6 linked regions of the Oryzias latipes genome follow. The protein of the gene in region 5 interacts with the protein of the main gene of each other region in a pairwise test. Links are inferred from orthologs where the notes say so. Each region holds a gene or a part of one and is shown on either strand. Other genes may lie near its edges.

Evidence for each region.
Region 1: the proteins of rnf8 (region 5) and wasl interact in binary tests that used the Homo sapiens proteins (3 or more experiments, as listed by UniProt). The two-hybrid records come from large-scale screens. The link is inferred for Oryzias latipes from reciprocal best matches to the Homo sapiens genes RNF8 and WASL.
Region 2: the proteins of rnf8 (region 5) and RNA binding protein fox-1 homolog 2 interact in binary tests that used the Homo sapiens proteins (3 or more experiments, as listed by UniProt). The two-hybrid records come from large-scale screens. The link is inferred for Oryzias latipes from reciprocal best matches to the Homo sapiens genes RNF8 and RBFOX2.
Region 3: the proteins of rnf8 (region 5) and ubiquitin-conjugating enzyme E2 D2 interact in binary tests that used the Homo sapiens proteins (3 or more experiments, as listed by UniProt). The link is inferred for Oryzias latipes from reciprocal best matches to the Homo sapiens genes RNF8 and UBE2D2.
Region 4: the proteins of rnf8 (region 5) and mad1l1 interact in binary tests that used the Homo sapiens proteins (3 or more experiments, as listed by UniProt). The two-hybrid records come from large-scale screens. The link is inferred for Oryzias latipes from reciprocal best matches to the Homo sapiens genes RNF8 and MAD1L1.
Region 6: the proteins of rnf8 (region 5) and cep44 interact in binary tests that used the Homo sapiens proteins (3 or more experiments, as listed by UniProt). The two-hybrid records come from large-scale screens. The link is inferred for Oryzias latipes from reciprocal best matches to the Homo sapiens genes RNF8 and CEP44.

What each region holds. Positions count from the first base shown.
Region 1 is NC_019881.2:13,542,071-13,547,001, reverse strand, and holds the start of wasl (neural Wiskott-Aldrich syndrome protein), read right to left. Parts: upstream 3,134-4,931; 5' UTR 2,804-3,133; coding exon 2,699-2,803; intron 1-2,698. UniProt on the Homo sapiens protein: Regulates actin polymerization by stimulating the actin-nucleating activity of the Arp2/3 complex. Involved in various processes, such as mitosis and cytokinesis, via its role in the regulation of actin polymerization.
Region 2 is NC_019866.2:20,451,876-20,456,919, reverse strand, and holds the start of RNA binding protein fox-1 homolog 2, read left to right. Parts: upstream 1-1,752; 5' UTR 1,753-2,440; coding exon 2,441-2,698; intron 2,699-5,044. UniProt on the Homo sapiens protein: RNA-binding protein that regulates alternative splicing events by binding to 5'-UGCAUGU-3' elements. Prevents binding of U2AF2 to the 3'-splice site.
Region 3 is NC_019880.2:25,335,202-25,340,393, forward strand, and holds the start of ubiquitin-conjugating enzyme E2 D2, read left to right. Parts: upstream 1-1,965; 5' UTR 1,966-2,355; coding exon 2,356-2,379; intron 2,380-3,109; coding exon 3,110-3,173; intron 3,174-3,317; coding exon 3,318-3,349; intron 3,350-3,477; coding exon 3,478-3,555; intron 3,556-3,771; coding exon 3,772-3,877; intron 3,878-3,986; coding exon 3,987-4,080; intron 4,081-4,167; coding exon 4,168-4,216; 3' UTR 4,217-4,217; intron 4,218-5,102; coding exon of another isoform or gene 5,103-5,148; 3' UTR 5,149-5,192.
Region 4 is NC_019859.2:22,954,898-22,960,054, forward strand, and holds the start of mad1l1 (mitotic spindle assembly checkpoint protein MAD1), read left to right. Parts: upstream 1-1,902; 5' UTR 1,903-2,029; intron 2,030-2,798; 5' UTR 2,799-2,834; coding exon 2,835-2,978; intron 2,979-3,071; coding exon 3,072-3,212; intron 3,213-3,285; coding exon 3,286-3,465; intron 3,466-3,548; coding exon 3,549-3,673; intron 3,674-3,749; coding exon 3,750-3,831; intron 3,832-4,033; coding exon 4,034-4,164; intron 4,165-5,157. UniProt on the Homo sapiens protein: Component of the spindle-assembly checkpoint that prevents the onset of anaphase until all chromosomes are properly aligned at the metaphase plate.
Region 5 is NC_019882.2:5,925,728-5,930,794, reverse strand, and holds the end of rnf8 (E3 ubiquitin-protein ligase RNF8), read left to right. Parts: intron 1-644; coding exon 645-849; intron 850-934; coding exon 935-994; intron 995-1,093; coding exon 1,094-1,183; intron 1,184-1,280; coding exon 1,281-1,388; intron 1,389-1,481; coding exon 1,482-1,686; coding exon of another isoform or gene 1,687-1,693; intron 1,694-1,779; coding exon 1,780-1,812; intron 1,813-3,539; coding exon 3,540-3,727; 3' UTR 3,728-3,930; downstream 3,931-5,067. UniProt on the Homo sapiens protein: E3 ubiquitin-protein ligase that plays a key role in DNA damage signaling via 2 distinct roles: by mediating the 'Lys-63'-linked ubiquitination of histones H2A and H2AX and promoting the recruitment of DNA repair proteins at double-strand breaks (DSBs) sites, and by catalyzing 'Lys-48'-linked ubiquitination to remove target proteins from DNA damage sites.
Region 6 is NC_019859.2:27,430,220-27,433,555, reverse strand, and holds part of cep44 (centrosomal protein of 44 kDa), read left to right. Parts: intron 1-147; coding exon 148-330; intron 331-2,230; coding exon 2,231-2,359; intron 2,360-2,422; exon of another isoform or gene 2,423-2,454; coding exon 2,455-2,553; intron 2,554-3,336. UniProt on the Homo sapiens protein: Centriole-enriched microtubule-binding protein involved in centriole biogenesis. In collaboration with CEP295 and POC1B, is required for the centriole-to-centrosome conversion by ensuring the formation of bona fide centriole wall.

The sequences.
Region 1 (4,931 bases), on a different chromosome or scaffold from region 5:
AAATTCAATAATGATTCATAATCCAGCATTTCCATTTAGTGCATTTTTTTGGGTATTTCCTATCAAGATTCTAAAACAAAAAGCAAAAACACTGGCGAGTGTTGGCTACTTAGATGCATTCCGTCTTCCTTTATCATGGTATATTTTTCTGTCTCCTGTCCATGAGACCCTGTGTACACAAGGCACAAAGGTGGGGAATGCTCCTGCGTACACGTCTGTGTCACATGACGTAAAATCCCACTGACAGGATGCCAGAAGAATACAGTCATGAGGTTTTTAAACAGGTTGCAGATCTGCAGGACACGCCTCAGAGCTGCGTTTGCTCAGATAAAGGTGGAAGCCGGGCGGCTCTCGTACAGGTTTGACCGTGTGAATCCTGAAAACAGGAAATGCGGCCTTCCCAAAGCAAACTTCTGTTCGTACGAGCACCTCAGAGGTTTCAATTATGGCGGATTTGCTGGGTTATACGACTATGTGGAAGTAACTCAATACACTAAAATCCCTGCGAAGCAGCAATAAAACCACAAAGTTAAGACTTTAAGAAATGACCCTGCATCATCATAAAAGAAACAAAGACAGACGCAGCAACTAGACTTGCTCTTATCAATATGAAACCGGTTTCTAAAAACAAGACTAATCTAAAAAGGAAATCAATAACAAGCGAGGGTGTAGCATACTTTCTGGCAGATAAAGCTTGGGTGACATTTGTCAGGTTTGACAAAACTGCTCAGCAGTTATTGTATGCTAAAGTGCCCCCCCACCCCCCAAGCCGCAAAGAGTCTTGTTGGCAGGTACTTTTAATATTCCTAACAACTTCCAGCACTGCTGCCAGCATCATTCAGCACCTGACCTTAGAGCAGATCTGCAGAGGGGTTTATTGCAGCAAGACATTGACCGCAATGCACAACCCAATGACAAGCCCAGAAGAGAAAACTACTGTGCATTTTCAATATTCAAATATGTATGAAAAACAACATGTGCCCTTAATAACTATGCCCTTTCAATAAAAAAATCTAGGATTGTGGTGTTGTTTTACAGGCAAAAATTATTCTGTTTAACCAACCCTGGTTTATTTTTAAGGACCCACTCAGATGATGTTTTTGGTGTTTTTAGCATGTTCTTGTAGCCTCTCTCATACGTTGGAGGACACATGTGTTAGGAAAGTTAAGTTTAAAATTGCATTACTGAACATCTATTCAAATTGTTGTGAATGCGGAGAGGATGCAAAAATGCGGTTTAAAAAAAGCCTGTAGATTTGATGTAGACCACAAGCTCCCCGCTCTGCTCCATTCTGATGCATCCACTTGCAGACAATTAGATCCAGATATGTCTTTGTTTTCCACGTCTGAGCTGGCATCTGGCTCCAAACTGTGCGACTGGATAGCTCCTATATTACTTGCCATTTTTGTTTCACCGCCAATGTTAGGTTGGGGGTTTTTGCTTGCAGGAAAGTGTGTAAACAAATGGATGACGGGAAGGGAGGGTGGACTTACTCTGCTTCAACAGTCTCGCCCACAACTCAGAGGTAAATTAACTACTGCTGTTCCGCAAAACTTTTTTAAATTTAGGCTAAAAACAGCATAATCATACGTAAAAATCCGCTGGGAGCACTTTAAAAATAGATCAAAAGATGATCGAAGTGAGACTTTTAAGTAAATGCACATTACAAATAAAAATATTGTAGTTAAAAATCTGTCTTCTCTGGGATTTGCAAAAATTGTTAATGTAAAGTGCCAGCATGAGAATGGTGGCATGGAAAAAGAAGGGAAAAAAAAGGAGGGATGGGTTGATTAAGATTAGTGTTTTAAAGAAAAAGAAAAAAGTCATTACATCCATCAAAAGCCAAAAATTAAAAATTAAAAGCCGCAAATGGTGTACTTCAGAGGATTATGAGAGAAGGTGGGACTTCCACCAAAAAAATCAAAAGATAAAAAATCTGCTGAAGGCTAAATGTCTTACGCAATAAAGCAGATTCTGTCACTTTCTGACGCCATGGGAATGGAACTACAGACCTCCGCCGCAGTCACACCTGAAGAAGGGGACGACTCCTTCCGCTTAGCTCATCACATTTGGTGACTGGCCCGTTTTGCTTTGCTTTTTTAATGTATTTTAAAGCTTAAGCTAGTCAGCTGGGTTCTAAGCCATGTGTCTGGGTTGGCACATTCTTTTTGGTGGCACACTTCCCGAAAACATGAAGGCTGAGTCACGTTATATATTAATGTCAACGGAAAAAAAGGAGAGGAAAAACGGGGGGAAATGTCGCAGATGGATTTTTAACTGCTTTAACACCCCGATAAGTCAAACACGACTCAATCAATGCTAGGCTACTGTTAGCATAAATTCTGGATGACTTAGTTAGGTGGGTCGAGCTCTAGACTTAAATGTGACCAAGCATTTATCACGCCAGGAATGAAACTACGTTTCCCATGTGTCCTCTCTAATCAATAAAAAGGTTTAAACGCACTCGCGGACGCGCTGGCTGTCAAAACAAACTAGCCTGTAAATCTCAAATGCCTCAACTGTGTGCGCATAAACATGTAGGAGATTGAACCGCAGGCCACAAACACATCCCGGTTGAACACTATCCCCTGTTCCCGGGACAGGAAACGTTTTGCAAGTTAGCAATGTTAGCTAGTTTTTGTTAGCAAGCTATCGTTCAGAAATCAATTTTATTGATGAAATATAAAACAATACTTACGGTGCATTTTCTACCAAGGTAGTTGAAAAGGCAGTCGTTTTCCTGACTGGTCAGGAGAATTGAACCCGCATTAATGGGCCGCCGTGGCTGTGAAAGTCCACTCATCGTGAGAGATCAATTGATTAACTAAGTATGCACTGAGTTTACTCGTTAAATACGAGACCCCAAAAGACACATAAACAATTCCTCTCGGTCATGGGTGGCCTTCGTCCTCCGGACCCCTCGCACCGGTTGGGATTGGTCCTGCGTTTCCGCAAAGCGACGTTGCCAAAGATGGTTGCTGGTTAGGAATGTAAAGCAAAGTCCCGTAGCTCCTCCAAATAAGATCAAATTGGGAACAACCGAGAGAAGGCGGAACACTGCAGAAACTTTCTTGGGCAGTCAAGCCGTCAGAGAGCCCTAAACCAGCTCCATCCAACATGGCAGTTAGGACGACTCCATTGTTCTTGAAAAGGGGGGAACGTTCACCTAACGCGTCCCAAATAGACCTTGAAAAATATTTTAAACATAAAAATAATACTTAAAACAATTATTTAAAGATCTATAGCGTATACATTTATTTCAATGGGAATTCCATTTATTATTTATTGCCAAAGAAATCTATTGTTTTTGCTTGTTATCCGTAAAGATGGTACAATCCAATCTGCCCCTGGCTTTTATGACAGGAATGTGAGTACTGGGAATGGGAGGCAGTAAGGAATAAGGTTCAGTCAGCAAAGATAAGATTTTTTTTTCCGTATGAGCAGCTACTGGATTAGGGATTATCAGGAAACTAATCCCACATTTTAAATGAACTCTTTGGGATTTAATAGGCATTCGCTAAGAACCAAAAAGGTTACCATTTTCTTTTAAAGATAACAAAACTCCTAAAAGTCATAGGTCAAGTTAGGTTTTAGATTCATTTCTAAAAGGTTATTAACATTCATTTAAAATAGAAGACCTTCCTGAACTGTGCCACACAGCTAGACTGAACTGGTAAATAAAGCAAGGGAAAATTAAATGCGCTCCATTTCTTTAACATCACCTAAGGGTTCAAGCTGACATGTGCGCAAAAATAACTTAATATTTTTAGTAAGGCTCTTTTTTATTTATTATTTTCTGAACAGTTTTCTATTTTACAAATCAAAGCATACTCTGGGCATAAGAAATTAAAGTGAAGATGTGATAAGAAACAACAAATATTTGTCAGATATGTAGTAAAAAATTAGAAAATAAAAAAAAAAGATGATTACTTAAGCAGATAATTGGGTGCAGCAAAACGTGGATTTGAACAATAGCTCTCCTGCCTGCCTGGCGTACTACATTTTTTTCAAGCTCAATCGCTTTAGGGAGATTACCCCCACTTTGCCATATGCTCAGTCAAACAGGTTGTTCTACTAACACAAATAAATTCTTCTGTTTTGTGTCACACTTTACCACGCGTCGATCCTTTTATCACAGAAATTCTAATTAAAGATAGCTTGAAAAAGTAGAAATAGCTATTATTAGCTCAAATAAGTTTATGTAACCACCACCTCAAAGTCACACTTCTTGATGTGTTTCTTTCTATGTAAGAATATGTAGGAGTATGTTGAAAAACTAGCTCATTTGAAATCCTTTTAGTACTGATTTGCAGGCTTTTATCATTTGACGTAAGCACAGGCTCCTCATTTGCCTATTTTGATAAAGCTCAAGCAAAAAAAAGGTAATTTTTCAAACCCTTCTTTATTTAAATCAATTTTCTTAAAAGCTCACAAAATTAGAATAAAAAAATGCAAAACACCTGATTATTTGTCACGAAATCTTATTAAAACTGGCAGTCATTTTTGTAAAACTTCTAACTATGAAACTGCTTTCTGCGTGTCTGCTCCTGTCTGCAGTGTTACACAATGGCGCGGTTATATTCCAGCTGAAACTGCACGATGACTTTGTCTCACTCTTAAGTTCTGGGTGGGACGGAGTGAGAGCACGTCTGTTTGCAGCTCCTGCCTGTGTATATGTATACAAGTACACGTGGTTGTCTGTGTGTGCACAGCAGCAGAGGTCATCCAGATTGTACACGGTGCTCAGGCAGATTCACAGTGTCTTAAATTACAACCAGCTTTGCAATCCTATTTGTATGAATTCATAAACATGGTTCATTTTTCTGAATACAGGATTCATTTTTCTGTTCCTAATTTAAAGGCAACCTCTCACCGAGTTTTTAGGAAATTTTTGCTTCTGCATATTCTGACTACAGTTTTTCAATTCTGCC
Region 2 (5,044 bases), on a different chromosome or scaffold from region 5:
AATTTTTACATTATATCAGGATGACCCAAATGCACTGGACTAGACTCCAAGGTTGAAGGAAAAAGATCCAGAGTTCTTTTAACAACCAATAAACACCACACTAGGTGGGGGAAAAACTCCATAAACATAACAGAGGACTTGAGACTAGCATGACTCCATGAAGGAACCAGGACAAACAGCCCAAACTCAAGCAACACTCCGACACAGAGAGCAAAATTGGACACAGTTAAATAGAGCTCAGGCAAATGAGCCTAAGGTGCAGACAGCTGTGTGCCAATCAAGGACAGCCACAGGAGAAGAGGTGGAGCCAGAACCCACAGCCAACCTACACACAAAAACAGGTAGAACAAAACAGAACTGAAGACTGTGACACTAATTTGAAATCGAAAAAAATCAAGTTTGAATTTGTATTTCAAAATTATAAAATTATAATGATCAATTTCACATTTAAACTCAAACCGAAACTTTAAATTTGCATACTTGTACGATGTGCTTGTTGATGGCATGGTTCCAGGGGACGGCATTTCCAGAGTTGGTGGCAAAACATGTATTTGAAGTGCACACAAAAGCCACGGCTATTTAAAATCAACAAGGTCATCATCAGCATGTCTTAAAGCTGAAGCGACTCCCCTCAAAGAAATACATGAGCTTTACGACAAGTCGGAAAGGATTTTAAATCCCTTTAGAGGTCTCTTCAAAGGGCAATTTACCACTACAAAGAGTAATTTTTTCCTGCTCTTGCCGTGTTGAGACAGGCAGCGGGCGGCGTGCTCTGACCCCCCTTGCAATTCATTATTGCAGGTTCAGTTGACAATTGAAGAGTCCATGGAGGTAAAGTCAAAACAGTTTATGGAGTGAATCACTGACACTGGGTGAAAAGGGTGTTCATTCACTGCACTTTCTATCAGACACTCACGCACAAATGGACTGTTGGTCTGAGCTCATAAAATATTTGTAAATCTTAAATCCGATCAGCTTTTACAACCCAAACATGTGTCTCTACTCTATCAGGTCATGAAGGGAAGTACTAAAGGGAAACACTTTTTTTTACACTTGTTAAGAAATGACAAATGATTTGCTATTTCTGGCTCAAGCTTTTGATTATAAAATGTCCTAGGATGACCTCAGCAGAGGAGGATGTTATTGCTTCTGTTTGTGTTCGCTGCGGTTTGTGATCCGCCAGGGGGCGCAAAAGCACAACAAAACGGCTCTAATGTGTCTATAAAAATCAGAACTACAAACAGCAAAATTTAGCATAATTTGTTTTCTTTTTGCTTGAATTTGTAAAAAGATGCTCAAGGTTAGAAAGCTTATAATTAACTACATTACTCAAAAATGCTAAAATATAAATCAAGGTATAGAGTAGGAATGAGATGAGTTTTACAAAAAAATAATAAAAAATGACGCTGAAATGAATTTTCATGAACAAATATATTAAATACAAACTCCGTGGTGAAATACATAGCTTTGTTTTTAAATTTTAAACCTATTAGTCAAATGGGAGGTTCAAATCCCGTTAGATAAAAAATGTTTTTGTTATAAATAAATAATACATATAAATAAAAAAACATGTTTATATATTTTTATAATTTTAAAATTATTTTGAAATACTGTTTTACCACAAAAACGAAACACACACACACAAAAAGTAATAAAAACCGTTGCGTATTAATAATGAAGTGAGGACAGAGGAGAAAGGAGGCGATGGTTGATGGGTGGGGGGATAGGAGACCGACAGCAGACCCCAGACCAGCCCGCCTCCCTTCACACCCCGCATCTCCAATCAGCGTCTCCTTGGTGAAATCTGACCGCGGATCAGCGCAACAGGACTCCCGCCACACTACGGAGTTGTGACTGAGACCAGAGGAAATCGTGCTCGCCAGGTCGGCTCGCCAAAACTCATCCACAGACCTCGAACAGGGAACGGACAAGCGGGAGGAAAACGCCTGGAAGGAGCCACGCAGAAGTTTAACGCCAGAACAGCCACACCGGAGAGCGGAAAGAGGAGCGGCTGCGCTGGAGGAGTAGTATTACGCTCAGCTCATTTCCAACATTTTCTATTCTTGGCAGAGTCTCTGCTCCCACAGCCTCATTTAAAAGGAGAGCTAGCGGAATGTAATGCTAGCAGGCTAGCATACGTTGGCTAGCTAATTAGCTCGACAGGCTCGGACGTGGGATTTTTATGAAAAAAAAGGTCGTAGTTTGGCGTCGATTCGACTTTTTATATGAACCGCAGGCGTTTGGTTGCTGTTGAGACGGGACCCTGACACCTTCATGATGGTGTGCCGCGCATAGCTAACGCGAACTTACACAAGAAACAGGACAAGGTTCCCGAGTATTGATGTTAGTCTGGTCAATATTGTCAAAAAGCTGAACGCCGAGGTGTGAAAAGCTCGAGGAAAGGTGAGCAGAACAAAGACGCGAGAGTGTCCGCCGTCCAATGTTAATGTCGACCGACGTTGCATCCCTAATGCTACCCGTTAACCGGGGAATAATGGACCGCGAAAGAGACATTGAGACAGCAGCCGCGGCGCCTCACGCCAACGCAGCCGGGGGTCCGGCGGCTGTCCGCGGGATGAAGCGGGGGGACCCCGAGCCTGACGCTCAGACAGCCGCTGCCCTCACCGACCTGGCCGGAGCGGAGTGCAAAAGACCAAGGATAGACGGCACCGGGAGCGTGGTGGGAGACATCGGACAGGTAGGAATGCAATGTAAACATTAGGGACCCATTAGTCATACTCTTGTTTGTTTTATCCACAGCTTTTTGTTTGCCACACAAACAAATAAGCATTCTCTGTCTCCGATTTTTTTTAAAAGCCCATTAACAACAAAGTAGCGCCGTCTTAGCAACAGAAATGAATGCAATTAGGAAGAAAAATGTTTGATTGATCATTTGAAACGATCCCCTGATCGTGGTGCTTTGAGGGAGCATGACCAGCCCAGACAAAGGTAATATGATCCAGGCTCCATGGCTGTAACAGGCAGCAGCAGCAGCAGCAGTAAAGATCAGAGCTGCTCATCTCGCCTGTCTCACACAAATAAACCAGTGCTGTGTGTCAAATGATGCCAGCTTTTGCACATTTCTATGGAAGAACCCGCTGGAGATCATTTTTACAGAGCCACCCCAAATTGTTCCACACATGGCATGTGCCATTAATTGCTCCATGCCCCCCCCCCCCCCCATCCCTTTTCCTTGTGGCTAGGTGTTAAAAGAGAGGCAGACAGGGATTGGGGGAGGGGTCACCGCAGAGAAAGACAAAGAACAGAGCCTTTCTGCTGGAGGCTGAAGGAACAGGGGGGGTGGGGGGTGGGGGCTTTCTGTACACCGGTCTTCCCTGCTTTCATGACTCGACAGCTGAGGCAGCAAAGCATCAGCAGCCGGTCCCCCTCTGGAACCGGTCTACTGTAATACAGTACACCACGGGGCTGCTTAGACACTCTTACTTGTCCTTCCAGGATCTGTTGCTATTTCTTCCACTCCATGGCATTCACCCACAAACATAATTCATACGCCTACACGCATATGCTTTGAAGGGCCTCTAAATCTACTCGTACCATGAAAAAATTCAGCTAGCGTCTGGTGTTTTAGCCCAGCGATAAGAGCGCAGAGAGTGGTTGAAGGGCAGGTGAGCATGGCAGGAGTCCAGGGGAATTGGTTTAAAAAAAAAAAAAAAGAAGGAAGGACCTGCTTGCAAAGACAGAGGAGTGCTGTAAAGCTGAAAGGTTCAGAGGACGGCGCAGATGATGCGATCAAATCGATCGCTGTGCACTTTTTATGGGATGGCACACGAGTTACGCCAGCTGCAGCCATGGAGGATGGGTAAACTGGTAAATGAAAGGTAGGCGAGGATGAGTGATCGGTGGATTAACTCAGGATGAGAGAGAAGTGAATTAAAGGTTAAGAGTGCAGAGCGATGCATGGCATCAAAAGTGGCTCGAATGTAGACGTAGATGGATTGCCGGAGCAAAAAAGGGTAGAAACAGGAGAGGGTAGGTGTTTTTTAGGGGGTGAATAAAGGGTGGATGATGCAGGGAGAGGGGTAGAAACGGGAGCTGTTAGCATCTGTCAGGATGTTGGATGAAAGGAAAGTGACGGATGGCGCTTAGAGAGGAGATGTGCTGGGTGAGACAGTCAGGAGATGAAAGGCTCACTAACACTTTACGCATAAAAGAAAACGACATTGAGGCTTTAAGACGGTAAATCTGGCTCTGGAGTTCCACTCAAGCTGAAGGTTGGATAAGTCCTGGGGGGTGGGGGGGTGGACTCCCACTGAGGGAGCGGGCACGCTCCTGACCTTCCAGACTGACTGTAAATCAGCACAGTAATGATAAATGAGAGCCGCCTCTTCTCTTTGTTACGCTCTCCCATCTCACACAAACAGCACCCCCCCCCCCTTTATTTTTCATCCTTGCTTCCACTCTCACATGTCCTCTGATTTGTCCCCCATCTCACCCCCCAGGCGTATTTCCAGATTGCTAATTGACTCGTGGTTTTGCACGAAGCACCCCCACCTCTCCACCCCTTTTTGTATCAGCAACCCCCCCCCCCCCCCCCATCTTTCATTCTCTCCTCATTTTTCCGTCCGCCTCCCTCTGCTCAAATCTGTGCCCCCTCTCCTCCGCATGGCTCTCCTCTCATGCTTTAATTTCATCTTTATTTCCGCCCATTATTTCTATTATTTTTTTTAACCCCCCCCAATAGGCTGTATTGATGCGTCTCCTCGGGGCAGTGCCCCGGTCCACTCGGATGTGGCGGGAGTACAGTGTCAACCCTCTGCGCAGCGCTCTCCCTGATTCGTAGAGCCGATTTGTCCTATCGTTGGCAGTAAAGCGGCTTTGTGTCGCGCTAACGAGATCAAAGCTCATTTAGGAGAGGGCATTAACCAGACGGATCGCTGTACAGGGCCAAAGCAGGGGGGGCAGGAAGTAGTGGTTGCTATGAATGAACGTATTCCAGGGACAGGGTTGTGTGGTTTGACGCTGTTGACTGCAAATAGTCATTCAGATTTAAAAACGGGGCTCTACCTTCCTGTGTATTCAGAGG
Region 3 (5,192 bases), on a different chromosome or scaffold from region 5:
ATCTACAGTATAACGTTTGGGGGTTTGGAGCCTCCGTCACACCATTAATGTGACATTTTTCTGTTTGTTTGACAATTTTCTTATGATGCAGTAGAAATTGTATTTAGCAATGTTCTTAAAATGCAGTGAAAACTGATAAAACCCGATGTTTACGTCATTTTTTATCATCTGGTGTGCCTCCTGGCTTGTTAACTAGTTGAACAGAGCTGCAGGTGGAAACCAACAGAACCTTAAACATCATTTCAGAAACATCCTGTGTGGTTTTACAGACCTTCTCAGCTGTGTTTGGCACCAGAAACAACCCAGAAGTTAAAAGGTAGGTGAAATTAAAGTCTTTTCTTTCTGTTGTGGGCCTTTATTTTTGTTTTACTTGAGTCTCCAGCTGGGCTTCTGCCTAAATGTCTGGAGAGAAGCTTGATGAAGTTTAGTTTGACGTTCAGTCCAACAACAAACAGTTGAGGACAGAAATACTGGCTACGGTTTCCTGGAACTGCCAGTTCCTGTTTGTCTCTGCGTCACCACCGGCTGCGAGAAACACAAACATTCAAATTTCAAGCAAATTCATTTGGGACATGCTGGAGATGTTTCCAGATGGGTGTCTGGTCTCAAAGACTGTTTGATAGGAGCTTTTATGCTCTCCATGCTGGGTTCTATAAAGACGGTTGGAGATCATTGCCATTTATTTGCTTTTTTATACAAACAACATATTTTAAAGCAACGTCATTTTACATAGAGTGTTTGGTAATTAATTTGACGTGCCACACAGCATACCTACTATTCATGTTTTTCCACAAGTTTATTTTTTTAACCTATTAAAACATAACACACAGTGGCTGCAGGTGAATTTTTCTAGCAGAAATTGAAAGATATACGACCAAGATATTAGAGAAAGAGTAAAGATAAAATTATCTAGGTCTGCATCTGAACACATCAACATTTTTTGTATTTTTCAGCACAGATCTGAAGGAATTGAATGACTGATTTCCCACATATGCTCCTCCTCTACTCAGCTTTCCAGGTTTATTGAATCACATTTCAATTTCTGAAACATCCATGGTGAAAAAAAGTTGAACATGACAATCAGGATGGAAAAAATCTAGAAGACGAAAGAGGTAAAGCCATAAAAAACAACCATAGAAAAGATCTGAATTTGTAGTGTCACAGAAGAAAATTATAGCCAAATAGGTGACTCTTTTGTAATTGGATGCTCATATTTAGAAGAGAATGATGTGTAAACTGATCAGAAATGGACAGTAAAGAATGACATTTTCTACTCTGCATGTTTCAAAGTTCAAATGTTTCTACCCAACTAATCTGGAAATATGTTGCTAAAGCAAAAGAGGTGACAGTTTTCACGCTCAAGAATATTTTCAGAGTAAACTCTGGAATGTCATTCCTGACATGGAGTTTAGCTGAAAAAGTAAGAATTCATCTTCCAAGTGTATTTAGGACTTCTAGGAAAATTTACAAGTGGAACTAATATAAAAAAAGCAAGACCTGAAGAAGTAATGAGAACTTATGCAGGTGAGCATTTGTCTGGGACAAACGGATGAAAAGTCACAAAATGAAACAACACACTGAAGCACACAATCCTCATTACAATAAGGAAGGACGTAACCATTTTGACTCCGCCCCTTTATTTTAAAATTTGATGTTCTGATTATAGTGTCATCCAGTTAAAATAATGGAATTAATTTATTAATAATCAGTTTTATTTAACAGCTGCTTTTAGAAACTACATAGTTAACAATAAATCACTAAAAATATAAATTTTAAACTCTATATTTCTGTACACAAAGGTGAGAAAAGTCTTGTGTAAAAAACTGCAGGGATGAACAGGAAGTTATAAAATTGTTGACAATAATTTCTCATTCTGCTTTCTCATTCACGCTCATGGCGAACTGACCACGCCCTCACAGCAGGATGACGGCGCATTCCCACTGACTGACTCCGCCCTCACAGGATTCTGGCTCCGCCCTCACGGCATAAAGCTTCATCTGTATGTGGACAGCGGCTAGTTAGCTAACAGCATCGACCGAAACCTGAAGAGGGGCAATTATATCAGGCCGGGGTTATCCACCTGGCGTTCGCAATTAGTCAATTCCCGAGGGGACACGGATATTTCAGAACCGAACCAAAAGAAAGGAGTTCCTGAGGAACGTAGCCAGTTTTCGTGAAGTCTTGGCCGCATACGTAGTTTTAACCTGCTATCATATCAGCTAGCTTAAGCAGACAGGCCGTGGAGCTGAGCCAGCGTGAATTATCTAATCGAAGCGGTCATCCTGGAACATCACAGCCCGCCTTTGTGCTCACTTTCTGTATCAACAATACGAAAACCCCAAACACGGAGGGAGGATGGCCCTTAAAAGGATCCACAAGGTAAGAGAACGGCGGAACTGCGTGCTAACGGTGTTAGCTTTCCATGCTAGCCTCCCTAACTATTCTCCGTCAAGGCTAACGAGGAAGTGTCGCTTCGAGGTTCAGGTGTGGAGCTCTGCTCGGCTTGATGGCGGTTATAGTTTTCAGTCCAGATACTTGTGTGTCAGAAATGTGTTACAACCGGCTGACGCGCAGCTCGCCAGCCAGCCAGCTATCATTAAATCATTAGCAGTTTCGATTTTCGACCTAACCTCTCTGTTGGGGCTGACGTCTGTCAGGGCCGACCGGTCTCGGTCGTTGTTTTTGCGTTCGGTTCTCCGTGATTCACACCTGACCAAGCCGGCCAGGGCCCACGTCACGATTAGCCTCGTCGCGCGTGTGCGCGCCCGGCTGAGTTAACTCCGGCCCGGATGGGAACCGGGCAGCCCCGGAAACCGGCAGGCCGCCCGCAACTTGCCGGTGTCTGGAAGCCTCTATGAGGAAAGGCCGGGGTGGGGCCCGGCTCATCCGCTCCAAAATAGACGGTCACCTAAAAATAAACATTATATGGACGGGCTGTATGTTTGCTGTGGATATAAAAACTGGGCTGTGCGGGCCCGTCCGGGGGAGGGGGTATGGGGGTAACCTTAACCAGGGAGGACGTTGTTCCTCACATACTCGGTGTTTGGAGATGTTGACGTTCGTCAGACTCTAGTATCTTCATGACTGACTGAAGCTCCTCTCCTGACAGGAACTGAATGACCTGGCTCGTGACCCCCCAGCTCAGTGCTCTGCTGGCCCGGTGGGAGATGACAGTAAGTGATCCGAACACACTGATGTAAATCTGAAAACCACATATGTTAGTGGATGCCGTGAACAGGAAACAGCGTTCCTGGCAGGCTGTGACAGTCACAGTGACCTGTAAGCTTCTTTATAATGCTTCATTTTTGTCCTTGCAGTGTTTCACTGGCAGGCTACCATCATGGGACCTGTGAGTACATTTTGACCTTCCCGTCATGTTATGGTGGTGGGGGGGGGGGTCTCACTTTCTTCATATAACGGCAAATGTTTATGCTTGGATCTGTCAGTCCTTAACTCGGTTTAAACTTCTCCTTGCAGAGTGACAGTCCATATCAGGGAGGTGTTTTCTTCCTGACAATTCATTTTCCAACAGACTACCCCTTCAAACCCCCAAAGGTGAGCTGCTATGACGGGTGTCTTCTGTGCGTTTCCATAGTAATGAGTTAAGACAGGATGTGGTGCTGCCTTTTGATTTAGACAAAGCGTTTGATTTCGGAACAAAGTGAAACTGTAATTCTTTTTTTTTCCTGTTTACATCATCTGCCGGTCCAGCCTGTTCTGTCGCAGGATCTGCGTTGCATAACTCAGATTTTTGTTGCGTCTCTCCCTCAGGTGGCATTCACAACAAGAATTTACCACCCAAATATTAACAGTAATGGCAGTATCTGTCTGGATATTCTCAGATCACAGTGGTCTCCTGCACTTACTATTTCTAAAGGTAGGAAGCTGTAGTTTGACGTTTAATAATTAACTAATGTCTTTTAATGTTGTGGAAGAAGTTTGCCTTCCGATGTCAAACTGAGTTTCCGTAAACTTTTCTCTTGTAGTTCTTCTCTCCATTTGCTCACTCCTATGTGACCCAAACCCCGATGACCCATTAGTGCCAGAGATTGCACGGATCTACAAAACAGATGGTCAGAAGTGAGTAAAAGCCGTCCTTTTGCATGTGACAAGACCCTGATCCCACCTTTTTTGGTTGATCCATGTGCGTGGATTTCACTTTGTTAGGTACAATAAACTAGCTCAGGAGTGGACGGCAAAGTATGCCATGCTGTAGGGTAAGCCTAGTGCTGCATCTTGACTGGTATCTCTTTCTCACCTTGGCAAAGATCTAACTGTTGCACTAATCTGTGTGCACACAACCAGTGTACTCGGTCAGATTCAGTCTCCCTTTTGTACCCCAGCTTCAGATTTGATCTGATTTTCTTCAGACGTTCTGAATGTGACGAGTTTGACGGGAAATGAACTGTATGCATGACAGTGAAAAAGTGGTTCAATTTGACGTGTCCTGCTAAGTAGCTTTTGGGGTCAGGCACAAATGTGTCTGGTGTGGTTAAAGTCCCACTTTGATCATCTTTTGATCTATTTTCAAAGCATTCTCACTGGTCTTTTAAATATGACTATTGCTAATGCAGAGCAACCCCCCCCCCCCCCATTACTGAGAGCTCCCCGTTTACGTGTTCTCCCCCTAGCTTAAAGTCCCTCACAGCCCCAAGCTAACATTAGCAGTGCAACAAAAATGTTGAGCAATATTGAAGCTATCTAGTGGTACAGTTTTTAGCCAGATGCCAGCTCAGACGAGGAAACAGGTTTTTTTAATCCTGTCTTTATTCACAAGGTTTGAATAGCTTAATTTATGTAATGTCCTCCATCAGAAAACCTCCGATAGAACGTATTAAAAACACTATTTTCAGTGGAGTGGGTCTTAAAAGTTCAGCACATCCAGGTTGAAGGTCTGCTAGTAAACATGTCTACTAATCAAGGTATGAGTTTCCGCTTTTTGTATCTTGTGGCGCTGCCTGAATGCGAACCGCATTGCTTAAGGTTGTAGCTGCTGTTGTGGCTCCTCCCACTACGCCTTCTCACCCTACAAAGTTATGTAAAGAAGTTGGATTGAAAATGCAGCCCCCCCCCCTCTAAAATCTGTTTTTATCCCTCTACAGATACACCAAAATGGCAAAAGAATGGACACAAAAGTACGCAATGTGACGGCGTTCATCGGAAGCTGCTGAAACTGTTCGTTTAAGATTAAA
Region 4 (5,157 bases), on a different chromosome or scaffold from region 5:
TGACTTTTTTTTATAACTTGTGAGCATGATTTCTTTTGAGACTGGACCATCTACTATCTATCTTTACACACCTTGAAGTAACTGCTAAGAGATAAAAGGCTGACATTTCCTTCTCTTTGCAACTGACCAACTTTAAAAGAAAACACTTTGCCTTAGCATGTAAACAAATAATATAAATTAGAATAAGCCACTTAAATAAATACATCAGAGGGACGGCTCATGTTGCCTGTGTTAGCGACAAAGTCAGAGAAGCCAGACTGAGATGGTTTGGACATGTTCAGAGGAGGGATAGTGGATATATTGGTAGAAGGATGTTGGAGATGGAGCTGCCTGGCAGGAGGGCAAGAGGATGGCCAAAGAGGAGATATATGGATGTCTTAACAGAGGACATGAAGTTGGCTAATGTTAGGGTAGAAGATGTTCATGATAGAGTGAGGTGGAAAACGATGATTCGCTGTGGCGACCACTGATGGGAAAAGCCGAAAGAGAAAGAAAGAATAAGCCACTAAAATCTTACCATTAGCCCAAAGAGACATATTATGTTCTTGGAATGAGTGGCCATTCATCTGCAATTTTTGAACTTCATTAAAGTTCAAAAATGTGGAAAGAGTGAAACTCTGCTGCTCTCTGCAGGAAAATCTAGGTACCTAGATATTTAGGAATCATGGTCTAACATGTGATGGTAAACATGTTAGAAAATAACAAATCACTAATACGAAATAAGAATTGGAAGAAACAAAAAAAAAATAGAAAAAAGGCACAAAAGAAACAACTCAAGGAGAAATGTATTAATGCCGGATAAAAAAATCAAACAAGTACGGGAGAGGTTTTAAAAATATGCTCATCAAGAAGTTTTTAGTGCGGCCAAAACTGCAAACCAGAGGTTTTCAAAAGACCTGAGGGCAGAACATGAAAAGTCGCAGACGGCAGCTGGATCCCAAAGCTCAAGAATCTTGAACAGAGACATTCCTGGAGGAAGAGGTTGAACATTTGAAGGAAGCTCACAAAAACCTCAGCTCCAAATCCGATGCCCAGATTTCAGCTATACCCAAAAGTAAGTGGAAATCCTATACCAAGAGCTCGAAAATCAAAGATCTCCTGCACAAGAACTTCAGTTCAAGCAGCAGATCATCAACAGCCTTAAAGAGGAGCAGGACGTTTCCCTCCACGCTGTATCCAAAGAGATCCTCCCCATGCGCGACCATTGCAGAGAGCTGTGTTTTCAGGCAGAGCTGAAAAATCAGAAGTTATTGTAAACAATTAAATTTATTAAAGTTAATTTAAATTAAACAAATTAAAAGTGTTTTAGTTCTAATTAGCAGACAGTAAAACAAAGTATGTGTGCAGCAACTTGTGCGATTGTTATTTTTAATGAGAACACCTTGCACTAAATCAAGGCATTTTCACTCTTAAAAAACTATGTGCAAAAATGCTTCCATATTTATGTCTTATGGTATATTTAATTGAAGAAGTACAGTGTTTTAGGTTCTTCATGTGTCAAAAAACATTATTTCTGCCCCCTCTGCTTCTGAAAAAAGAAATGTGTACCTTATTTGCCATGAAAAAATAACTGGAAACTGCTTCAGAAATGATTGATTACTAAGAGATGTCTCCTATAAACCTCTGCATAGAATTTATGATTGTTTTAATGGCAAGATATATTAAAGCAACTGATCCCTACTGTTTTTTCTGTAAAGAACACCCAAAAAGTATTTTTATTATTATTATTAATAATAATGATTGTTATTATTATTTTTATTAATGTAACGTACTAGGTTATTTATCATACAGTCAATACGTATGATATATGCCATCTCCTGTAACTGCGTTGATTTTGCAATTGAATAATAAAGTTAAATGGGGAAAAAAAGGTTACTTCCTGTTGGTATTATCGCGATACTACAGGCTCTCATTCGAGTACTGGAGGGATTTCTCGTTTACTTGCTGAGCAGCTGCTAGCACATTAGCAACATAACAAGAACTTATCAGTTCCCGACAGACATTTTATCGTAAATAAGCTAGTTCTGGGGTAAGTTGTTTAGTTTTTACCCGAAACTTTACAGAACCTTTTGGTACGATAAGCGAGCTAGGATCTCTTTAACCTTTGGACGTTTCCGTGTAGGTGTTTGTCTCATCATCATCATGCTACTTTAATTATCGTAACTGAAAAAACAGACAAACAAACAAAAAACTTTGAATTTTTTGATCTCGAATGTATTTTTAACATGTTTTTTTTAATATGCATTATGTTATTGTTCTCGTCGTTGAACTTGGTATGTGTTTCAATTTTAATTTATGTAAATTAAACTTTTTGTTTAAGCTTTTTATCAGTAAGTCTGGTGATTAATTGACATGTTGTTACTTTTTTGTGAATTATTTTAAGTCTTCCTGTGACAGCTGACGACTTGATCGCGTTTTTATTTATTTTTTAGTTAGATATTTGGCAAAATGGTTATAGTGTTTTGGCAACTTTTTTAAAAAGTTTTTATTAATAGATCTGCGTAATTGCAGAACAACTCCCTGGCAATACATGTCTTTAACACTCTTGGATCAAAACTGACAAACATAAGATGTATCAACTAGTTATAGCCACTTTTTAACTAACATCATGTACTACCTTAATTTGTAAATGTTTAAAGCAGTCGATTTCTTCTTTTTTATATTTTAGGATTGTTTTTCTTTTGAGTTTTTGTATAGTCTATCCATTAATCCTTTAGTACTTATGAGCAAGAACATGATCTATATGTCACATGGTGCTATAATGTGATATTTTGATGTTCTTGCTTGTGTCCTCCCAGCTCTTGTGTCTTTACTACAACACCAGTAAACCCAAAATGGACTTGGAAGATGACACAACCATTTTGAGCACCTTAAAATCTTTCAACACTTTCATCAGTCGTCCTGAGCGTCCACAGCTGCCGTCTGAGCGCTCAGCAGGCAGTGGAGTTCTTCAGAGTCAGTACAAACGCAGCATGGAGGTACAGATAAATCATTTGCTGTGAAAGCAAAATTCAGGAATTAACGACAACCATTCCATCTGACTATTTGCTTTCCCTCTGGCGCATTACTAGATTTTGGAAGCAGCAGAGAGGGTTCACTCTCAGAATCGCTTTCTGCAGTTGGACCAGGAGAAGAAACAGATGGAACTGAGCCACAAGAGAGCTCGTTTTGAGCTGGAGAAAGCGGCTTCCAACAGTGCACGAGACTTTGAGGTATAGTGCATATTCAGCCTTTTCACAGCCATATACAAATAGCATTTGATTATTTTGTGTTGTTATTTTGCAGCATGAGTTGGACAGAAACCAGGATCTTTTGGCCAGAGTTAAAAAGTTGGAAGGGAGGGAATTTGAAGCGGATAAAAACTTATCAGACCAGGTTGAGGAGAACCAAGTTCTCCGTAGGAATCTAGAGGCCGTGAACAAAAAGCTGGAGGAGCGAGACACCAAGCTGAATACGGCTAACAAGGTTCCCGCACAGACGCACACCTATCTGTCTCTTCAGGAATGTCTGTCATCTTACATTCAGTCCTTCTTGCAATCTGTTTCCAGACCATAACTTCTTTGAAAGATGAGCTCAGAGAGTTGAGGCAGAAAATTCAAAACCAAGACTTGGTGTTCTCAGCCCAAACCTTGGAAAAACAGGAGCTACAGGAACAGCTGGATCTGCAGCGCAGGTAAATCCCAACATTTATGATGGTTTTCTTCTTTTTGTTAGATTAATAAGATGTGTTATTGTGTTTTTTTTTTCAGGAAATATCAGGAAATCTCACAACTATGTCAAACTCTCCAAGCTGCCCAGTCTTTATGCTCAGAGCACATTATAAAAATAAAGGTAGCAATCACTTAAAAAATTTGTCGTAAAGATTAATATTACATTTTTCAAGTCTGGAGATGCAATAAATGCTGTTTGTTATTTTAAATCGTATCATTTGAATGAATCTAAATCAGTTTATGATGAAATGAAAGTACTGCATGCTTTGGTAGAAGGTTAAAGGAGCTTTTCTTTTTGGATTTCCCTCCGTCTGATCTTACAGGAGCTGGAGAGGCGTCTTATTCTGCAGGAACAAGACATGGCAATCGTGAAGACTATCAAGTCGGAGGCGGCGAAAGTTACAGATCTGGAAAAAGAGTTGAAGCGCCTTCGAGAAGAAAATTCTTTTCTGAGGTGGAAAAATTTATACGCTTATGATTTGTAGATGTTTAATTCATCATTTCTTTATTTTATTTTATTGTGCTCTTTTTTCTTTTCTTTTTTTGCAGATATAGCAATGTTTTATGAAAAAAAAATTAACAAAATAGACATGAGCCTGGATTACTAATGAATAATAATGAAGACAACCTCTCAACAAACAATAATTCCCCTGGGTTTTTTGGTTTGGGATTATTTCTCAGCAGGACAAAAAGATTCAGCTTTTATTTTAAGCTTGGATATCGCAGCTAAAATAACCAGTTTCTACAATGAATGCCATTCTCCTGTGGAAGTGTCAACACAATGTTTCAGTGTGAAAATGGCTGCAACAGTCACAGAAGCTAATGACAATGCTGACTGTCAATTGCCATGATAACTGATGTGAGAAAATCTAGTTTTCATTGACTGGATTTTAATAATCAGTTTTAGTTTTTTTTTTGTTTTTGTTAATATTTTCATCTAACTTTATTTTATCAGAAAATTCCACCAAATACCATTATGAAGGGAGAACAACAATCTGCTGATTTACCGCTATCATGTCTTTGTGTTTGCATGTTGCTGGGCAGATTACAGATGCTTTTCCGAATTCACTTATTTGTGGATTCTGTCAACATAGTTTCATTAATAAGTATTTTTAAAATATGTTTTTAATATTGCTAATTCACCCAAAAATATTTAAGTTAGATGTGTAAATAGAATAACATAACAAACTGGATTTTCAGCTGTTTGAATTTCTCTCTTTTAACTTCAAACTTGATTCCTTTCTGAAGATTTTTAATTATGTTAACATTTTGGTTTACTGTGGAAAACACTGCTAAGTTGCTGTGGAAGAAAAGGAGCAAAAATGTTATCCATTTATCAAATCAGTTTGATCTATAAAAAAGTTTTTTCATTCTTGAAATATCCAGTAACAGATTGATGATTGCTGAACCCTAAGCTTAGAGTGACTGTGTGGTTCTGCTGTGTTTC
Region 5 (5,067 bases):
ACACATTCAGAACAAAAGCCACCTTCCAGTATTAGGGGCCTCACCTGTGGAACCGCTTGGCTGAGGACGTGAGGGCTTCATCCACCCTGGAGGTTTTTAAGAAAAAATCGTATAAATCGTCTTTTTTGCTTAGCTTTTAATTAACTCTTACATTTCCTAGTGTTTTCATTTGATTTTTATGGACTGTTTTTGTGTATTGCATAATGCGTATGTGTATTGGGGGCTTTCCTAATCACTATTTTTATTTTATGTAAAGCACTCTTAAGGTGTTTTACAACAGGAAAAATGCTCTATTTATTAATTAAATATGATGATTGTCAAATATATTTTTGATCAATTGCTTGAAAGGAAGTCGGGAGAATCAAACTTATATGATAATGATTCCTCCTCTATTACATCTTACATTGTTATATAATCTTCTGTCCTCTGAAAAAGCTGCTGTGGAGCTCTAATAACAAGTTTGTCCTGATCTTTTATTTCATTCAGATTCAGTTGCATTTATCTCCTGTATCTAGAAATATGTTGATAGACTGTGTTCATCTGAATCTGCCTTTTTTATTTATTTATGTTTTTGCAGTGACTTCAGCTCAACATGATGCTTGTGTTGGTGCGTCATCATTTTTCTTTCCCAAAACCGTTTGCAGGTACAGTCAGAACATTCTGTTGCTGCGGGAGCAGGTGGATGACACCCAGAGACGGGTAGCATCTCTGGAGGGAGAAGATCAGCAGGGTGACCCGCTGGTCCGGGAGCGGGTCCAGGAGCTGCAGAGTCAGCTGGGGACTCTCCGAGGCAAAATGCACCAGATGGAGACCTTAAAGAAGTCCTTCAGTGAACGGAGGTGGCCAGAGGTGAGGGTGGCTTCAGTCTGTTTTACAAGCAGGATGTGAAGTGAGTTTTGTGGGGATAAAGAAGCATTTTTGTGTGTGTGTTTAGCATCAGAAAACACAGCAGGAAGAGCAAATGAGAAAGCAGTTGAACGATGCCTTGCAAGAAGTAAGAAAATAAAGGAGTTTTCTTTCCGTAGACGGACAGCATTTATGAGATTATGAAGTGACATTATTGAGGATAAGTATTGTTTTTATCTATTCTCAGCAAAAGAAAGTGATCGTTGAACACGCCCTCTCTCGACAAGCCTTCGAAAAGATTCTCTCAGCCAAAAACAAAGAGCTGGAAGCCACGAAGGTCTGTTCAAAATCCTTAGTTTTATTCATCTTCTGCCCCTGAATGCCACAATAAATCACAATATATATAATTAATAATAATCACAATAAATCCTCAGGAGGAAAAGGAAAGGGCCCGTGCCCAGAAAGATGAAGTGGTTACACAAATGACTGAAGTTCTGGAGAACGAGCTTCAGTGCATCATCTGCTCAGAACTCTTCATCGAGGTGGGCTCTTATCAGATTAGCTTCACCTGCAAATGAGAACCACCGACCGTTAGAGTGACATTTTTTGGATCGTCTTATGGTCGTCTTCTGCAGGCAGTCACCCTGAACTGCGCTCACAGCTTCTGCTCCTACTGCATCACCCAGTGGCGCAAAAAGAAAGAAGAGTGTCCCATCTGCCGACAGGCCATCACGTCCCAAAGCCGCTGCCTGGCCCTGGACAACTTCATCGAGCGCATGATGGAGAACCTGAGCCTGGACGTCAAGGAGAAGAGGCAAAGCGTCATCAACGAGAGGAAAGGTGAGAGGTGCGTTTGTGATGCTCGACTGGACCGAAAAGCTTTCGAGTGTTAACCCAGAGCTGTTAAAAGACTTTTATTTTTGCTGTCTTCAGGTGAGCAGGTCTGTGAAAGCAGTGTCCAATCAGGTAAGTGGGGAAATTGGACTGATCTTTCAATGTCACATGATCAGGAGAGGAATTTGTGCGTTTCGTTCAGATTTTTGCACAAGAGGTTCGTTAGTGCTGTTAAGTGATAAATGCGCGCTCCTCGCACGGATCCTGACTGTTAGAAATGAGGAAATTAAACCGTCAGAGCGTAGTTTGTGTGGACATCTAACGGGCACTTGTGTATCATATGCACATCTCATCCGTGCAACATTTGCACACGCTCAGTAAGGAGCCAGTCCTCGATCCTTGCTAACAGCTCAGCCCCGCAATTCTGGAACTCCCTCCCCTCTGATCTACAAAATATGGACCATCTCTCTGTTTTCCAAACATCTCAAAACTCACCTTTTTGCCTTGGATTCATAATATTTAAACTGCTGATTTAACTGTTAACTTATTTTGTGTTTTGTGGCGTTTTGTTGTTATATTTTTATGATTTTACATAATTTTGTACTGTGAGGCGACCTTGAGTGTCTAGAAAGGCACCATATAAATAAAATGTATTATTATTACTAAGGACTACAGTAGGGGACAGCAACCTTTATGACGAGAAAAGCCAATTTGAAATATCCTCTTCAACAACTGTGCCATCACCAAGTGGAAAAGTGACAGTACTGATATAGGTGGGCGGGGTCACAGTAACAGCGTTGTGTGAATGGAGCCTTTCCTTATGACGCCATGAAGGAAAATAGCTCATCGTGAGAAGAGATTTGGTCAAATCCTAAAAATACAAGTGTTCATCTTACACTACATTATTCCCACAAAACACTTACCACAAGCACGACATTGGTACGTTCCATTTTCATGACGTCTCTTGAGGGGACCCTATGAGTTTTAAGGGAACTACAACCCACACCTGTACCCCCCCCTTAAGAGGCAGCCACGCCTCTCTACGACCCCCCACGGGCCCAGACAACCCAAAGACCTGCAGCACCCGTACGGGTCATGTGACTTAGGCTTTGATCATCTTTTCATCTAGTTTCAAAGAATTCCTATTGGTCTTTAATCATGACGGTCATTTTTAGCCAAATAAAAAAATAAATCTGTTGTTTTCATTAGAAATTAGAGATGTGGGAGGGACCATCAGCGCAGAGTAACCCCGCCCGCACTTTCATCTGTTAACACACTCTCCTGGTACCTTGCAGCAATATCGGAGCTACCCAGCCGTACAGTTTAGAACCAATGCCAGCTCAAAATTGATTTTCTTAGTGTATGTCCTCCCTCATGAGAAAAATGCCTCAATAACATGTTAAAAACACTACAAACATGATTTTCACCGGAGTGCATCCCAGGTAGAAACTCAAATGTATTGATCTATTCAGATGTGTTAAAGAGCACAAGTTCCTGAAACAACTTGGAAATCATTCCCTTCATTCTGTCACGAGTGGACTATCTCCTGGTTTTAGGGTTTAATGTCTAAAAATATCAACTTTTGTGACTAGAGTCCATTCAGTGACCCTTTGCTCAAAAGCAGCAGAAAGTGCTGAAGGGTCCAAACCTCAGGGAATGCTGGGAAGCTGCTGGGAGGCTTTCTAATAACATGTCATGGTGTCACCAGAGGGGATCTGCCGAGAGACCCTCCGTTACACAAGATGACAATACAATATGTTTCATCTTCTGTTCTGTTAGCCGGGCGTATTAGTGCTGCGTATGTCAGTGGAGTTTCTCCAGGAAGAAAGGGCGGCTCACTCTGCGTTTCTGTTTTCCAGCCGCCAACGCCGCAGAGGTGATGGTGATCCACGATGACGACAGCAGCAGCGACGGCAGCAGCAGCAGCACCGTCGAGAGCGATGGAAGCATGCTGTCCATTTTTAGCAGCCTCAGCTCTGTGTTCACTGTGGACACAGAAAGCAGCGACCATTTAGAGTTTGAGATCTCAGATGACCTTGAAGATTAACTCTCAATCGGAAGGCAAAAAACGGACTCGCAAAGCCCTCCAACAAGAAAAGCCCTCGGGATCTTTAGTTTACACTAAGAACACTTTGGTCTCATCATGAGGAAAACTTCCTTATGTTTTCTTTTTGTAAAGTTATTATTTGTGTAGTGTACTTGTTTTTCAGTGAAAAGATTAAAGTTTCTTCCTGATTACTTTTACCATTATCTTTACAAGTTTTCAACTCTTTCATGTTGCTTTTTTCTACGTGTTCTGGGTTGATATTTAAAATCTTCGCTTCGATTAGTAGCTTAAAGTATTCAAACACACAGACTTTGTGATTTTTCTACTAGAAATGTTCCCAACTAACAGACACAGCATGGGCGTATGGAGTGGTTTTTGTGCCATTATTCCAACTGTAACTTTCACATTTTTTAGCGTAAAACTTAAAAAAAATTGTGCTAAAAAAAAAATATTTCGCACTTGAAACAGAAAAACGAACTAGAAACTCAAAAATATGGGGGGGGGACAATTCTCAATCCAGAGCACCGTCTGACATACGTGCCACAAAAGCCAGCCAATCACAGACATCACCCTTTCACGCCCATGTCTGTGATTGGCTGGCTTTTGTGGCACATTTGGAACATAGTTTAAAGTTTCAAGTGTATTTTTCTGTTTCAATTGCAAACTATTGTTTTGAGCACACAAAACTTTTAAATTTTATGATCAAAACAGTGGCTGTTGCGCTCACAATAATGGCATTATAATCCCTCCATATGGGCATGTTTTTAATTCCACTTAATGCTTTCATTTTAACTTTAAACATAGCTTAAAAACACAGTTTTTATATTTTAGTCCTTTAACAAGATCTTTAATTTATATTTATTTTATTATAATCAAGCTGGTTCCGTTTCTAGGCTTAAAAAGTAAATAAAGAAAAAAAACATATATATATATATATTAAAGTGGTGCATTTCTGAATTTAGAAAAGTAGATTTTATTGCCAGAATGGTGGGGGGGGGGACTCATATTTTAAACCCCACTATTTACGCTAAAGTAGATTTTTCAGAACAGTTCTTGATACGAAAATGGTTAATTTTTTATGTATTCTAGCAGAAAAAATAAATCAAATTTTAAAGTTACAAAATGATACACAAACGTGAGTCCACTCACTGATTTGAGCGCACAAAGACGGCCGTCACCGTGTGAGTTTGCCTCTTGATGTCATGCCCTGCCATTAAAGCTGCAGTGCTGGGGAGGCCGTTCCTGCCCCCCCTGATATCCCATGGAGGACAGTGATGGACTGCCTCAAGGCTACAGTTGGAGCCCTTCATTACTCCGTCTGACCCAGCATCAGTTCTGCA
Region 6 (3,336 bases), on a different chromosome or scaffold from region 5:
GCATTTGCAGTAGTATTTTTTCACTTTGGCAAAAAAGTCTTAAAATACTTGATTGTATGTTAAAGCAACTCTTCCCTACCTTTTGAAAATTCCAAATGATGATGTCAAAATTAAAACAAAAGATCAACATTTTTTTTTTTTTTTTAGATCTTCAGGGAGCCGTTTATTGTAAATCTGGCTAAAACTCCGTCCTCTATCACTGCAATCGCCTCCAGTGCAGAAGAGTTTCCGTCCTGTCCTCCTCATGCTGACGTGGATTCCTTCATTTCTTCTACAAATGAGATCACAAATGTACCAATAGCAGAGGAGCCCAGTGATGGCACTGTTTGTGTAAGTATTTCCTAAAAATAAAGGGGATCTCATCCATAACAAACATTGTTTTCCAGATTCAGTGTCAGTTTGAGTTGGTCTAGGTCATCTTTTCTGTATCTATATGGTTCAGAGGCCCCACAGGATTAGCAAGATGTTAAAAAGGCTCTCAGAGAAAAATGTCTTCTGACCAATGGAGGAATAGCTGTTTGTTTCTCTATAGGGAAATTAGCCTCTTGGAGCCAGCGGGTACTTCCTGTTTGGACCGTGAGGGGGGAGGGGACCCTCAGTCCAGTTCTCATTCACAGTCAATGGTCTGAACTGCTTGAGGTAGCGTGACCTTCAGTCACAGCTGTGCTTGAAACCCATTGTTGGTTTAACCTTTAATTCAACAGGTGATGCTAAAACAGCTTCTAGTAGAAGTTTTGGAGATGAATGCAGAGAAGCCAGATTGAGATAGTTTGGACACATGACAGGAATGTACCGTGACAATGTTTATAAAACGATTCGGAGGTTGGAGCTACCAGAAAAGAGGCCTAGATGAAGACCAACCAGAGGAGGTTCATGGATGAAGAGGAGGAGAACAACAGAGGGGTTTGTGTGAAGGAAAAGGTTAGATGAGATGTGGGGACCCCAGAGCAGTTGAAAGGCAAAAAAGTAGAATACTCCGTGGAAGTTTTAGCTGTCACCATTCACACTTTTATTGTTGTCGATAAGCTGTTTTTCTAGTACTGGAGAGAGCAGATGTTTTTATTCCCTGAACTTCAGCTAGAACTGACAGATGTCAAATCTACAAGAAGTCAATTTCATGTGTTGCAGCAAAGTAGCTAAATGTATTTATGCATCTTTTAACAAAAGCCTGCTGGGTTAGATTTTAGATTAAAACATGATTTTTGAACCAAATTAAAGCTAATAGCAAGACTCTGAAGTGTTCCAAAGCTGATGGGTGCTGAAACGCCTGTGAATGAACAAATGGGCTAAGCTATGCTGGAGATGATGTCATGGACCAACTTCAGTATCTTGAGTAAAGAAGAGGTCGCTGTTTTAAGTTCGGTTCAAAGCTACATTTTAGATTTAGATTAAGATTTTTTTTTCAATAGCGCTGGTTGGGGGCGTGTCCTCCTCGTTTCCACTGATCAGACACAGCTTTCCAATGTTGTCGTACTTCTGTCCACAGACTGATTATGCGGTGACCTTTATCCCATCTTATGAAAGCTCCAGGGTTTCCCACCCGGTTCTTATGTTGACGGCTGTGGAAGCATCATAGGAAGGAAGACGCTTTTATTCCTGTCTTCGTTTCCAAACAGGATTTCCTGGCTTGGTTTATCTACTGGATAAAACATGAACTCCCCATCTTTGTTTACACATTAAGCTGACAGGGCCGAAGCCATTTCCATTTACCAGCATTACTGACAGCAATGCTGTTTGGCTTTACACCATGAAAGCATGCAGACCAAAGGGCTGAATTCCACATACCTGGCATGTTCCTTTTGGCTGGACACACCTGATCCAGGTATTTAGAGGTAGGATATCTGGAGGACATGCTGTCACACCGGCGCTTTTTACCTGGAGTCCCCCACTTTGGATGTAGGCCTAAGACCCATCTCTTTAACTTGACTTTTTGCTGTCTTTCTTTCGTTCGTTTGTTCATTTATTTATTTGGCAATGTTGATCACCATGAGATGAAGGGTTGTAGGGGTGTGGAGATATTGTGTAATGGAGAGGGGATCTATTTTTTTGAATAAACTAACTTTTTTCTTATTGTTTATTCTAGTGTACAGCACTTTTTGTTATCAGATATGAAAAGTGCTATTTAAAAAAAAAAACAGATTTGATTTAAATATCAGTGGACTAAGCATCAAACTCTAGATTGTACATGTCTTTATCAATTACTAGTATTTATAGTATTCATGTCATTCAGTTATCGGGGATGGAGAGCAGACTCTCAGCGTTGGAGGTTCAAGTGAATCAGATTTTATCTCGGTTCAACAAGCTGGACATTCTGGAGAAACGTCTGGAGGAACTTGAAAACTGGAAAAGCACCGACAAGGTAAACTAGTATTGACTAAATTGAAAAGAAAATGACGAACTGTACATTTAACCTCATGTTTAGTTTGGGCCATCTTGCACATGGCTGAATTACAGGGGGACAAAGAAGTTATCACAATACCTCGAGAGAGCTGGGAAAACCTGATGGGCAGAGTTCTTCTACTGGAAACCAAACTAGACTTGAAAAATCCAGAAGTAAGAAACTTTGTTGCTTTCCCCGTTGATGCTTTGCATCCATGTCATTGCTTTTCGTGCAGTTTATCTGGGTGTCTGTCATGTGTTCACTTATTTGTAGTGCTGCCATTGGCAGGAAGTCTGTTTTCTCTTCTTAAAGTCCCACTCTGATCATCTTGTGTAAAAAGTGTTCCCAGTGGTCTTTTAAATCTGATGATGCAATTTTTAGCCAAAGTCACAAACCTGTGTGGTTTTCTAGGACGTAGTTTCTGCAGAGCGGCAGGTAATCATCAGAAATTTGACTGAGTTGTGGGCGGGACCATTGGCAAGAAGCAAGCCCGCCTCCATGTTCCATCCCCCATCTGTTTACGTGCTCCCCCACTAGCTTACAGCCCCTCACAACCCCAGTCTAACATTACTGGTTCAGCAAAAATGGCGAGACGTAAAGTGTCGAACCAGATTCCAGCTCAGACGAGGAAAACAAAGATGTTTATGGATCTATTTGTCTGCAAGTGCATGAATCGGAGTGGAACGGAGCAGCGACCCCCCCCCCAAAAAAAAAAATAAAGCTGGGTTTTTTTTCTTACATGAGTGAGTCTTTTACACAAGGCAAAGCGCGGCTGCATATGACAGTTGATCAAATACTGCAGCCTCCATGTTTGTATTCTGCCAAATGTCTTTCTATGCTGATATTTTGGTGCATCTTCACAAAAACTATTCTTCTTAATAGAAACGATATATGATCTTATTTATTTAGCAAGTAACTGATTTAAAAAATAATCATGTTACATTTTTGACCCAAAT